Linked DNA regions of Ovis aries. The protein of the gene in region 1 interacts with the protein of each later gene in a pairwise test. Links are inferred from orthologs where the notes say so. Each region holds a gene or a part of one and is shown on either strand. Other genes may lie near its edges.

The links.
Region 2: the proteins of ERBB4 (region 1) and CFL1 interact in a protein complementation assay, tested with the Homo sapiens proteins (2 studies listed by BioGRID and IntAct, with this or other methods). The link is inferred for Ovis aries from reciprocal best matches to the Homo sapiens genes ERBB4 and CFL1.
Region 3: the proteins of ERBB4 (region 1) and DLG4 interact in binary tests that used the Homo sapiens proteins (3 or more experiments, as listed by UniProt). The link is inferred for Ovis aries from reciprocal best matches to the Homo sapiens genes ERBB4 and DLG4.

What each region holds. Positions count from the first base shown.
Region 1 is NC_056055.1:214,424,396-214,428,527, reverse strand, and holds the start of ERBB4 (receptor tyrosine-protein kinase erbB-4), read left to right. Parts: upstream 1-1,289; 5' UTR 1,290-2,041; coding exon 2,042-2,123; intron 2,124-4,132. UniProt on the Homo sapiens protein: Tyrosine-protein kinase that plays an essential role as cell surface receptor for neuregulins and EGF family members and regulates development of the heart, the central nervous system and the mammary gland, gene transcription, cell proliferation, differentiation, migration and apoptosis.
Region 2 is NC_056074.1:40,409,083-40,413,213, forward strand, and holds the start of CFL1 (cofilin-1), read right to left. Parts: upstream 2,804-4,131; 5' UTR 2,793-2,803; coding exon 2,790-2,792; intron 968-2,789; coding exon 660-967; intron 393-659; coding exon 316-392; intron 113-315; coding exon 1-112.
Region 3 is NC_056064.1:26,812,947-26,816,527, forward strand, and holds part of DLG4 (disks large homolog 4), read right to left. Parts: intron 2,013-3,581; coding exon 1,776-2,012; intron 420-1,775; coding exon of another isoform or gene 363-419; intron 1-362. UniProt on the Homo sapiens protein: Postsynaptic scaffolding protein that plays a critical role in synaptogenesis and synaptic plasticity by providing a platform for the postsynaptic clustering of crucial synaptic proteins.

The DNA.
Region 1 (4,132 bases):
TTCCTCTTACTTGCTGTGGACCTAAGAAAGGGAAGGCTGAGGCCTCTGGGAAGAAGCTGCTGTTTCACTCTGTTCCAACTCCACGCAAATTCTTAAGGGACACAACTATAGATAAAAGACGTGGGGGAGGAATAGGAAGGTCTCAAATGATGAGCGAGGAGGCAGGGTGACTTAATTTTTAAGCTCCCCTGATACTTTTATGTAGTTGCTGCTTCTAGAGAAGCTGAAAAGGGAAAATCATTCATAGAACGCCTGTGCAAATAGCAAACCAATAATCCCCTGCCCTCAGGAGGTTCTGGCCTTTGTCCTGGGTACAGTTTCAGAGTTGTAAAAAGCAAGGGATATGTGCACTGATATAATCCAATCCCATATGTTTCAGACTAAGAAGAGTTCAGAAACTCCTATGGCTAGCAATGACTTCTGGAGGTCGTATGAACATGGAAGAGGACTAAAGCAGGACCCACTGTAGGATAAACCTAATTATTTAAGGTTGGTTATATCCTATCATTTGCCTTAAGTTATTTCAGACTGATCAGCTCAGCCCTGCATCAATTTCTAGCCATTTAGAACCAAATTGGTGGCTTTGGACTAGAATCGGCTTAATGAGAATGAACCTAAAACCAAGTTGTTCTAGAGTCCAAGGAAAAGATGAAGTGACCCCATAAAGTCTAAAAAATCTAAGGATGCAGCTCTACAAAAGTGAAAGTCTAGTTTGATCAATTTGCGAGCGTGGGAATGATGGGAGAGGTTGTATAGTTAGTTATACAGACTGAAGAAAGAGGAGTGCTTAGGTTCCCAGGACTACCTACTCCGCAGATGTTAACAATTACTGAACCAGCTTTTGAACTACTGTCTGAATGTGAAGCACGAGGAAGTAGGAAGCGAGGTAGCCTAATACAATTGAAGCAGCGTATTCTTTTCTTCTGTTTCTAGGGCAGGTCCAGTCTGTGGATGAGCACCGTGGAGTGTGGAGTAAATGGTGACTTTCTGGCTAAAAAAAAAATCTTTTTTGTAAAGCATCTCTCAGGTGGTCTCCACGCTTTCCGGGCCAGCTGTCCGCCGTGTGTCTGGGGGTGGGGGGGGGTGGTCTCTGATTCAGTTTGTGGCCTCCGGTGAGCCCTTTAAATTCAGCTCCCCCCGCCCCCACCGCTAGGCTCCCAGCTCCCTGACAGGTGTTTTCCCAACTCCTGAGGCCCACGATTTTGGGGAGTGGCTGAACCAATAAGATTTCCCTTTGGGGGGGAAGGCGTGGCTAGTTGGGTCAGAGCGGGGGCGGGGTTTGCGCGGCTGAGCAGAGCCAGCCTGGCTGCGTGGAGGGTTGTTTTACCCACCGCCCGCTCGCCCCCAACCTTTTTTTTTTTCCTCCCGGACGGAGTCTTATTAATTTCTCGGTGGGGCTGCAGCTGGAGACCGCGGAGCGTTGGAAATGACGCTCGGAGCTTTAATTACCGCAGCCGCCGGACAAGTGTGAAGAAAGCTGACAGCAAAAAAAAAAAAAAAAGGACAGGATTGGGGGTGAAGCGAGAAGCTTCCCCCTCCCGCCCCTTTCCTCCCAATTTGGACTGGAGGTGCAAGGAAACTGAAAAGGGAGTCGAACAGAGTCGGGCTGGGGGGAGAGGCCGGAAACCTACCGCCTGTTTGCAATCAACTTTTTTTTTTTTTGGAAACCCTCTTCCGAACCCTTTCTTTTTATTGTTGGCCAACCAGGGAGAGAGAGCGAGAAAGTGAGGAGGGAGCGAGAAAACGGAGGCTCACACGGGGACGTAGCTGCCCGGTCCGGCCCGGAGCGCCGCCGCACACCCTCCAGTACACTCCCACCCGCGCGCGCCCTCCCGCGCACCCTCTCCCGGTCCTCCGGGTCCGGGCCCTAGACCCGCGGACGCGGACTCGGTCGCCCGCGCTCGGAGCTGGTGCACCGCGCGCGCCAGTGCCCCTCGAGCCCCCACGCGCGCCCGGCCGAGGGATCTCCTCCGCGTGCCCGAAAGGGGATTATGCCATTTGGACATGTAATTGTCAGCACTGGATCTGAGACTTCCAAAAAATGAAGCTGGCGACAGGACTGTGGGTCTGGGTGAGCCTTCTCGTGGCGGCGGGGACCGTCCAGCCCAGCTCTTCTCAGTCAGGTGGGTCGCGGTCCTTCTCGCGCTCCCAGGGTTGAACCTGCTGCTGCCGGCCGAGCGGCGCCGGGTGGCTCCTCGCCCCCTGCGCCCTTAGCCCAACCAGAGACCCTCTCGCTCTCGGGCGTGGAGGGACCACGTCACCCGCGCCTCTTCCTTGTGTTTTTCGTTCGCCCCTCTTTCTATCCCAAACTTACCCTCTGCGTGGGCATGTGTTTCTCGTGAAAAACCACTCTGCGCCCCTTTCTCCGTCCCTTTTCTTTCTCTCTCCCCTTGTTTATTTCTCGCGCGTTTTCTTCGAGCCTCTCTAAGCCGGATCCCTTCTGGTAGCGCCTGTTGTGCGGGACGTGGGAGACCCAAAGCCGGAGTCAGAGGAGACGCTCCTTGCAGCGTCTGCCTACCCCCCGCCCCCGCCCGCGAGGGAAGAAGCCTCGGAGAAGCGTTGCCCTGCCGGGGCTCCGAGGCAGGATTGGGATCCCGGGGCCGTGGCAGCTGGGCTCCGGGGAGCGGGAGGGCAGTGGGGAGAGGAGCTCCGAGAGCCGGCTTTGCACCTGTGTGCGCTGCCCGCGGCCGCTGCGTCCCTGGCCGTCCGAGCCTGCGGGGTCAGACCCGACTCGAGCCCAGCCTGGGAGCTGGAGCACGGCGGGAGGACACGCCTCGGCCGGGGGGCCCGGGAACGCAAGGCCTCCGCTGGCGTCCCCAGCCCTCGCCCCGCGGACTAAGGGGGGCTGGCTGGCTTGCTTGACCTTTTTTTTTTTTTTTTTTTTTTAATGGCCTGACTGACTTAAGCCGGGAGCCCGGCCTTCCCGTCGGTTTCTGTGTTTGGCTTCAGGAAGAGTTCTTCCTGTAGTTCAACTTGCTATTGGCCGGAGTCCCTCCAACTTCTGTTTACTGCCGGGCGCGGCTGCCGAGCCAACCCGTCAGGCGAATTGATAGAACCCAAGGCGGGTGCTGCGGCACTGGGTGCGCTACCACTGCTGCCCGGGGAGCTCGCGCCCCGGGACCCCGCGGGGCAGGAGGCGAACTGACCCCCGGGGAGGAGGCGCGGCGGGGCCCGCAGGGTGGATGACAGCCCCTGCGGGCCCAGGGAGCTCAAAGTTTCTGACACTTGAGTTTCCTGAGGATGAAAGTGGGACAGGAAAGAAAGGGCCAGGAAAACCGGGGACTGACGTGGCCAAGGGGGGCCTTTTGGAGAGCCGGGGAGATGTCCGGAACCATACGGGGCTGGTCGCGAGGGCGTGGGAGGCACCTTGAGAAGATAAAGCCCCCGGGGAGTGGCGAGAGGGAGAGTTTCAGGCCCTCGGAGCGTGTCCTTCTGACCTCACCAAGAAAACAGCGCGCTGGAGTTTTCCCGCTCCGCCCCCGCCGCCGCCGCCTCCCCCCGCTCCCCCCTCGCCTAGTAAATAACAAGTTACAATCCTCGAGCCTTTCAAAATGACCTTCGAATGGCACAATGTGCGCCGTTTGTTCTGGCCGTTTGCACCCTCCCAATTACTCCGAAATTCTTCATGCATACCAGGTCCCGGGCTCCAGCCACCTCCGGAATTACACCAACACCGACTTGAGATTCCAAGCGGCCTCTTAGATACATCCCTTTTTATCTCCCTCCCCACTCCGCGTCCCTTCATATTTCCCCTCAATGGGTTGATTATGCACATTGAACCATTCAGAAGCAGTTGCGACTGACACGCAGGCTTAGCCGAGAGGAATTTCCACCGGGCGACCTACTGGGGGGCTGTCTGGTGCAATCTCTGCCGCTGGGGGACCCGGCTGCGAGTCCGCAGCGATTGGGTATTAACTGTGCGGCTCGGGCTTGAGCTATGCCGAAAAGCCCTTTTCAGAATTTCTGCAAGGAATGTAATCCAAATTAGTTCTGCAGCTGTCCTCTTCCTCGTCTCTGGCGACACCGACTCGCACCCTCGCTGGTCTCTTCTCGCTTTCCCCCCGTGAATTGTCAGACCCACACAAGTGAGCCCAGTTAGAGCGCGAGGATTAGCGTGCCATTGTTGTTCCGA
Region 2 (4,131 bases), on another chromosome or scaffold:
CACAAAGGCTTGCCCTCCAGGGAGATGACAGCGCTGCCCCCCAGCTTCTCTGCAAGGGTGCAACGGTCCTTGACCTCCTCGTAGCAGTTTGCTTGTAATTCATGCTTGATCCCTGTGGGGAAGAAGGGGGAGCATCTGTGAGCAGGAAGGGTGGGGGTGGGGGGTATTGCAGCTGGGTAGGAGCCAGTCTGAACAGATGGAGGGGACCAGGCTGCCTTCCAGCAGGCAGGGATCTCCTGGGCCATGCCATTCACCCCACCCAGCGGCCAAGGCCCAAGCACCAGGGCATATGGCGCCACCAGTGCTGGCCCTTACCTGTCAGCTTCTTCTTGATGGCGTCCTTGGAGCTGGCATAGATCATTTTGCTCTTAAGGGGTGCACACTCAGGGGCCCTGGAAGAGAACAGAATCAAGAGAATTTGGCTCCAAACCCAGCAAGTACCCTCAAGCAATAAATAACTTCCAGAAACCCCTGAGCTGGGCCCAAGCATTCACGCTTTCATCAAGTTCCTCATTGACAAGCCTTTTATTACAACACCCTCCTCTTGACACGCAGGTGTCTGGATTAAGCCGGAGCCACAGACCTTCCTGTCCTGGAAAGGGGGGTGGGGCAGAGCTAGAGCAGGTGAAAGGACAAAGTGCCTACAAGGAGCAGCTCACCAGAAGATGAACACCAGGTCCTCCTTCTTGCTCTCCTTGGTCTCGTAGGTTGCGTCATAGAGGGCGTAGCGGCAGTCTTTGTCTGGCAGCATCTTGACAAAGGTGGCATAGGGGTCGTCTACCGTCTGGCCCACATCACCCACCAGGATCTCCTTGCCCTCCTCCAGGATGATGTTCTTCTTGTCCTCACTCAAGCAGAAGAGCACCGCCTTCTTGCGCTTCTTCACTTCCTCTGGTGTTGAGGACTTACGCACTTTCATGTCGTTGAACACTTTGATGACCCCATCAGAGACAGCCACACCGGAGGCCTATAGGATGAGCCACATGCACCTCGTAAGGAGACATGCCCTGAAGTCCCTCTTTTGCTTTGTTAGGAGATCTATCTAGAGGCCAACAAAGTATAGTCCTCAGCCCCAAGAGGTTACTACTAATCCCCTTCCCAGGACTAGTGGCACTATTTTCCCACCCAGGTCACCGTCAAAAGTTAAGATGTGACACAATCCCAGAATAGCAGCCAAAGAAAAAGAGACCTTTGATCGCATAATTCAACAGCATTCCTCCCCATCCCGACATCCTGCAGGCTAGAGATCCAAGATCTGTGAGAAGCAGAGCCTCAGCCAAGATGTGAGTCCAAAATTAAAAGAACCGACAGACTACTGACCCCGTTTTCTACCCAGTCTCAGCTTTTGCATTAAGTGCTGACTCAGAACTTCACGTAGAGCAGAAAGGGATCCAGATCCTAGTCATCTCTATAGAACCAGAACCCACCAACGGGGCTCAACAGTTCTAGCAAGCCCATCAGGACGGTTCAAAGCAGTTATTATACAAGGTATTCCTTCTCTGCTGGGGTCTCCCCAAACCAAAGCAACAACAAACCCCTAATTAAGGCCCTACATGGGAAAAATGCAGGCCCCCAAGTCGCTGATAGGAGTCAGCGGTCCAAATTCAAGTGCCCACAGTCTCTGAGAGCTCTTTAAACTTCTAGGTCGTGTTGGGGGACACCCTAGCCAGGAGAGGGAGTGACGGTCCACGGTGAAATCTGCCCCCGCTCCCGGAACTGCAGAGGAAGCCGGCCACGTGATTGAGCCGCTTCCGGAGTAGGCGGTGAAAGCAGATCGGTTAGCGTCAGCCCCCTCCCCGAAAAAAACTCGTACCCAGCGGCAGCTGCATCTCGGAAGGCCTCAACCCAATGGAATCGCCTGCGCCGACGAGCTTATCGGCCCCCTGCGCTGCAGGCCTGGGCAAGTTACACAACCTTCGGCTCTCGCAGTCCTCGGGCCGAACACAGGGGACGGGGTGGTTTCCGGGCGGTGCCCGCCTGGGTCACTTCCCTAAACGCGGCTCCACCCTCAGGCCCCATCCGGGAGAGCCGAAGGCCCCGTTAGTCCACGGCTTCTGGCCCAGCGGCCAGGCCTGACCGTGTGCGCACGCGCCGGCCGGGAGCGCCGTCCCAGTCTCCGCCGGGTGTACTCCGCGAACCCGGCTCGCCTTCAGGGGCTCGCTAGCCCGGGAGGGCCGCCGAGGACTCCTTCGCGGTCCGCTCTGTGGCGCGCGGTGCAAGCCCCTAATCGCTGGCGCCTGCGCCAGGACACCCCCGCATCCCCCGCCAGCCGCGCCGCCCCCGCCCCTCGCGGGCATCCCTGCCACCTGCTCTCGAGACGGACCCCGCTCGAGAGGGAGGGTGACGCGGAGACAGGAACAGCCCTTGGGTGGGGCGCGCACCAAGACCGCTCGCGCGCTTTTCCTCCGTCGTCCCCGGGCCAGGTTTGGATGCCGCGTGTTCCAGTCGAGACGCGCGTCCCCGAGAAGCGACTCGGCGGCCCCGCGAGGGGACGGGCGCGCGCGCGCCCTGGACCCCTCCCCCACGGCCCTGGGCCGCGCGGGCGCAGCAGCCGGGTGGGGGAGGGGAAGGGAGCCCAGGGGGCGCGCGAGCGACGTCCGAGCCAGCCCTCCCCGGAGCCCGCGGGCGCGCACGCGCGTCCCGGCGCCGCCCGCCCCTCAGCACGAGACCCTCGTCCAGCCCCGGGAGCTCGGGAAGGGAGTGCCGACGTCGCGCCCCCGTTCCCTCTAGCGCGCCCGAATGATCGACTCGCGGCTGCCTCCCCCGCGGCGCCGTGGCCTGCCGCTCACCATGTTTCCGGAAGCGAAAAAGCGATAGCTAGGAGAGCCAAAAGACGAGAGCCGCTGCAGCTGCTGCCGGGATCCGACTGAACGCGGCCTCTCCCGGCCCCTTCCGTTTAGTATGAGCCGCACAATGAGGGGCGGGGCGGGCTTCCGGGGCTCCCCTTGCGGGCCGACGGGAAATGAAGTCCGAGGGCCCTGCGCCGTCTTCGGGCTTGCTGGGTAAGAGAGTCTTCTTCGTCTGACGGCCTCTGAGCGCCACGTTGCATCCTGGGAAAAGTAGTCCGAAACGGCAGAGAGAGGCGGGGCTGTGGTGCGCAGAGCGCACCCGTTGGTCGAGTTTCCCAGGAAATGCTCCGAGCTCAGAGAAGGCCTCAGCGTTTGGTAATAAGGCCTGAGAATAAACCCTGGCTTCGCGGCTCTATACCCAGTAGCGAAACGATTTTCCTAAGCGTCATCTTGGTACTTTCTGGATACCTTGGTATGAAGATTTTCAACGAGTTAGTGTTTAACTTTTCTGAACTGAAGCACCTATTTATTCTTTTTCCTGGGATCCAGTCCTAGAGCAAGGAGAATCGCAAGTATAAGGCCCCTCCAATAAAATAAGTATTCATGAAGTCTACTCCATGTTGTCTACTGAGAAAAGGTATATGCAACGTCAATAAAATGGGGAAAAACAAAGGAAAGGCTACAAGGAAATGTTTGGAAATAAGATTTGTACCAAAAGGTGTTTGGCAAATTAATAAGGCAATAAAGGTAGAAGGGGTTTTGTGCATTCGATTCAAAGAGTATGTGCTTTTCTACTAGACAGTGAAAAGAGGAAATAGATATTAAACCAGACTTGAATCTCATTCTCGAGTTGGTAACCAGGCATATGGTTAATACCCTCAGAAATTGAGGCAAAAGTTCTGTGAGAGCATAACCTTCAAAAAAAAACCAAACTGGGCTGGGGGACTCCGGAAACACTTCGTTGGTCTCGAAGACCTCTTAGTCTGCAGGAAGAGAAGACAAGGTCTCAAACAAGAGGCCCGGGGCATTGATCCTACACACAAAATAAAGGATAGAACAATAAACAGCTGGAAGCCTGGTCTTTAGGACCCGGCTAGCGACACCCGAGTGGGGTACGTCGCAGAGCATGCTGGGGATTGTAGTCGGGGACATCCCGTCGCACCGCTCACCAACCTAGCTCCGAAGGAGCCTCAATGGGGGGGGCCGCAGCTCAACCGCCGCCTCCCGCTGGAGACCGGGCCGGAGATAAGGCTGGCTCCACCTTTGCAGAGTTTCGGAGTTTCCTAGAGCAACGAGGAGGGGGAGGGAGACTTCACAGTTACCCTGGAGACGCGCTCCCGCC
Region 3 (3,581 bases), on another chromosome or scaffold:
TAGCTGTAGATAAAACACCCCTCTCTCCACCCCACCCAATTTATCCTCCAACCCCAGCCTCCGTTCTCCATCCGCTTCCACGCCCTGTGCCCCTGTCCAGGCCCATTCGGCATTAGCCTCCTGCTCTTATCCTCCATCCTAACTTATGATCCTCAGAGGGATCACCACCACTCTCCCTTACTTCATTCTCTGACCCTCAAAATTCTATACCCAAATCACAATCCTTCATTCTCAACCCTCTGAAAACTGAGGCTTCTCCCGTCCTCCAGCTCAGGCCTTGTTGTGGGTCCTCCCTCCCACACCCAGGGCCTCCAGCACTCACTTCCCTCTGCTTCCTGGACGCAGATTCCAAGTCTCCCTACCTCTGTACGACCACCTTCACTCCTCTTCCCCTTCCCCAAGGACTGAATGGCCCCATCCTGAGGGAAAAAAAGCATCTCTCGTCTTCTTTCCTTAGTCCTTGCAGCCCCCAGCCATCCAAAGGAATTCTCTGCACCCATCTCCTCCTCTCCTTGCTCTCAATCAGCTCAACCTCCCCGCTGATTTCACGTCTCATCTTTGCCTGTCTCCTGTCCTAGGACCTCTCAGCTTCCTCTCGTGTCTCCACTTTTCTACCTGCAGAAGAATGGTATTTCCCTCTCCAACTACTCTCCTACCACCTCCTTCTCACCCCAGAACCTACTGCTGCCCAGCCTCTGCCTCCTCATTCCCAGGCTCAGTAACTCAGGAACCTCCTCTCCATCTTCTTGGTGAAACGTCAACAACTTCCCCCTTCCCGGGAACATCCCACAAGATCCTAGAATCTCACCCCTGACCCCAGTGTTCCCCTGAATCTCACAGCCAGCCTGGTACACTCCATTCCTCCCAGCCTACACCCCCAGAAGAGGAGACTGAGGGGGAAGAAGATGGGAAGTGGCCTGGAGAATGGGAGATCTCAAAAACAAGGTCTCCCGAGGACTGGAGAAGGGAAAACATACTGTGAGCACAGAAAAGAAGGGGAAACAGGTGGTGGTGAATAATAATGGGGGGGGGGGCACAGAAACAAATTTGCATGGAGGTAGAGTCCAAGAGGAGGAGAGAGAGGAGGCATAGGAGGAAAGGACAGAAGTGATGAGTAGGGAAGGGGGTTAACACAGAGAAAGCCGGCTGACCCAGGCAGAGGACTCATCCTGGCCAGAGAGCCTGAGCTGGGGATCGGGGAGAGGGAGAAGGAGAATGCGTGGGAGGAAGAGAGAGACAGCATCCAGCACCAGCCAGCAGAGAGGGAAAGGCATCGAGGGCGGGAGGGCACAGGAGGGGTGCACAGGCCGAGGCAGGGGACAGAGGCGGAAAGGCCAGGCAACCAGAAATCTCCGGCCAGACCGATGGAAAGGGCTGGAGAGCCAGGCCCAGAGGCCGGAAGCAGGGGGGGCGGGGGGGGGGGGTTGGCAGCGAAGGGCCAAGAGCAAATGAGGGCAGCAGGAGTTCTGAACAGAGCTCTGGACACAGAAAATGGAAACCGAGGTGGGGGTGCGTGAAGGAATGAAGAGGGCCCAGGCGCGGGGAGCATCCTGGGGAACGCACGCATCTCAACGCACGTGTGCGCACACACGCAGACACACACGCACACACACAACGGCTGTAAACTCTACACCCTCTCCCACTTGCCTGGCCTCTGTTTCTCCTCTTTGGGAACCAGGTGTTTCCGACGCCCCCAATGCCCCCTCCCCTGGCCCCAGGAGCCCAAGCCCAGCCCACCAGCCCCAGCCGCCCCCCACCTCCGGCTCTCGCCCTACCGGGCCTTGGGGTAGTTGTAGCTCCGAGGCTCCGAGGGCTGCACTGGGGAGGGGGCCGCCTGAGTCTCCTACCTTGAGGGGGGAGAAGTGGGCGTGGCCCACGACCCCTTGGACGGCCTCGAGGTGGGACAAGTTCCTCTCCGCCACGTGCACCAGCTCGGGGGCGTTTACCTGGTTGGGGAGGTGGGCCGGGCTGTGCTCCAGAGGGGGCGTGTCTTCATCTTGGTAGCGGTATTTCTGGGGACGGGGACGGAGGCGTCACGGGGGCCGGCCCAGCGCCTCGGGCTCCAGGCGGCCCGGCCCGGCGCGCCTCCGCTCCCCCGCCTGTGCAGTGCGGAAGGCCCTGGGGCCTGACCAGCTCCTCCCCCTCCCTGTCCTCCAGCCCATTGGCTCCCCTCTCTCCACCCTCCCCACAGCCCCCTCTCCCGCCAGGCCCTTGGCACCTCTCTTCTCTTCCCAAATCCGAACCCTCCCCGCAACTCTTCCAACTCCCAGCCTAGGACCCCCGCCTTCTCCCCAGCACACCCCTCCTCTGAAGTCCGTTTCTTCACCCCTTTCCCAGAGCTCTAGCCCCTCGGCCACGTGCACCCCTCCCCTTCTCTACTTCCATCCCCAGCATCTTTGCTTACCTCATCAGCTTCCCCCCACTTCCTCTTTACCTTAAGCCCATTCCCCATGTAACCTCCCTCCTTCGAGTTGCTTCTCCCATTCTGTACTCCATTCCACCCCGCTGCACCCTCCTTGCCTCAGTCTCCCTACTGCAGCCTCTGCCCCAGGAAGAAATCACTCCCCAGCACTTTGCAAGCCCCGGGCAGGGACCGCAGTCAGGCCCTTCAACTAGCAGGTACTTGGCATCAGCCCCCCTGACAGGACAAAGTGTCTAACCGGTCCAGCTGGCCTTGCTGGTTCCCAAGTCTTCGGCAAGGGGGCCCCAGGACTCCCCCACCTCTACAAATGCCCAGAGGCCAGCCAGCTAATCGGATATACTAGAAGAAGGGGGAGGGTGGGGGAGGAACAGAGATGGTAGGGCTCAGAAAGGGGGCAGGAATAGATGCCAGCTTCCAGGTTCAATAACTGCGGAAGTGGGTAGAACCTCAGAGTAAATTCCTGGTCTTCCTTTGGCCTTTAGGAGTGAAAGACCCAACCTGACCCCTGATTCCCCTTCCTAACTCACTGCATACCATCTCAAGGGCCTCCCTTACTAGCTTAATACAGACACCAGTCAATGAGATTAACGGAGGGACCAGAGAGGAGGGCAGCTGGAGACAGTAATGAAGGGTAGCGCCTCTGCCCCTCACAGAAGCAAACCCTTCCCAAGGCCAGGTTCTGTGAAGGAAGGGGAGGTTACCATGTGTAGGGCTCTCCCAGAGACTGCAGAAGACAGACTATGCTCCCCAGTACACATGGGTAAAAAGAGAAGGCAAGATTTCCCTCTCAAAAAAAGTATCTGAAAAGCTGAGAAGACCCCAACATTCAGAGGACAACTGGAGGAAGCTTATCAAGGTCAATGCCTGACACAGAGTATGATTCTGAAAATTCTGAGGATGAGGAACCAAGGCTGAGGATGCAGTCCACTTTGGCCATGGTTAAGGATAAAGTAAGAGAATAGGAAGAGGAAAATGGTCCATTAAGACTCTCCAATCCAGGACAGAGACAGCTGAGATCAAGGAACACCTTGATATATTTTGTTTTAAGGCTGCACCACTGAGCATGCAGGATCTTAGTTCCCTGACCAGGGATCAAATCCATGCCCCCTGCAGTGGAAGTGTGGAGTCATAACTACTGGACCCTGCCAGGGAAGTCCCA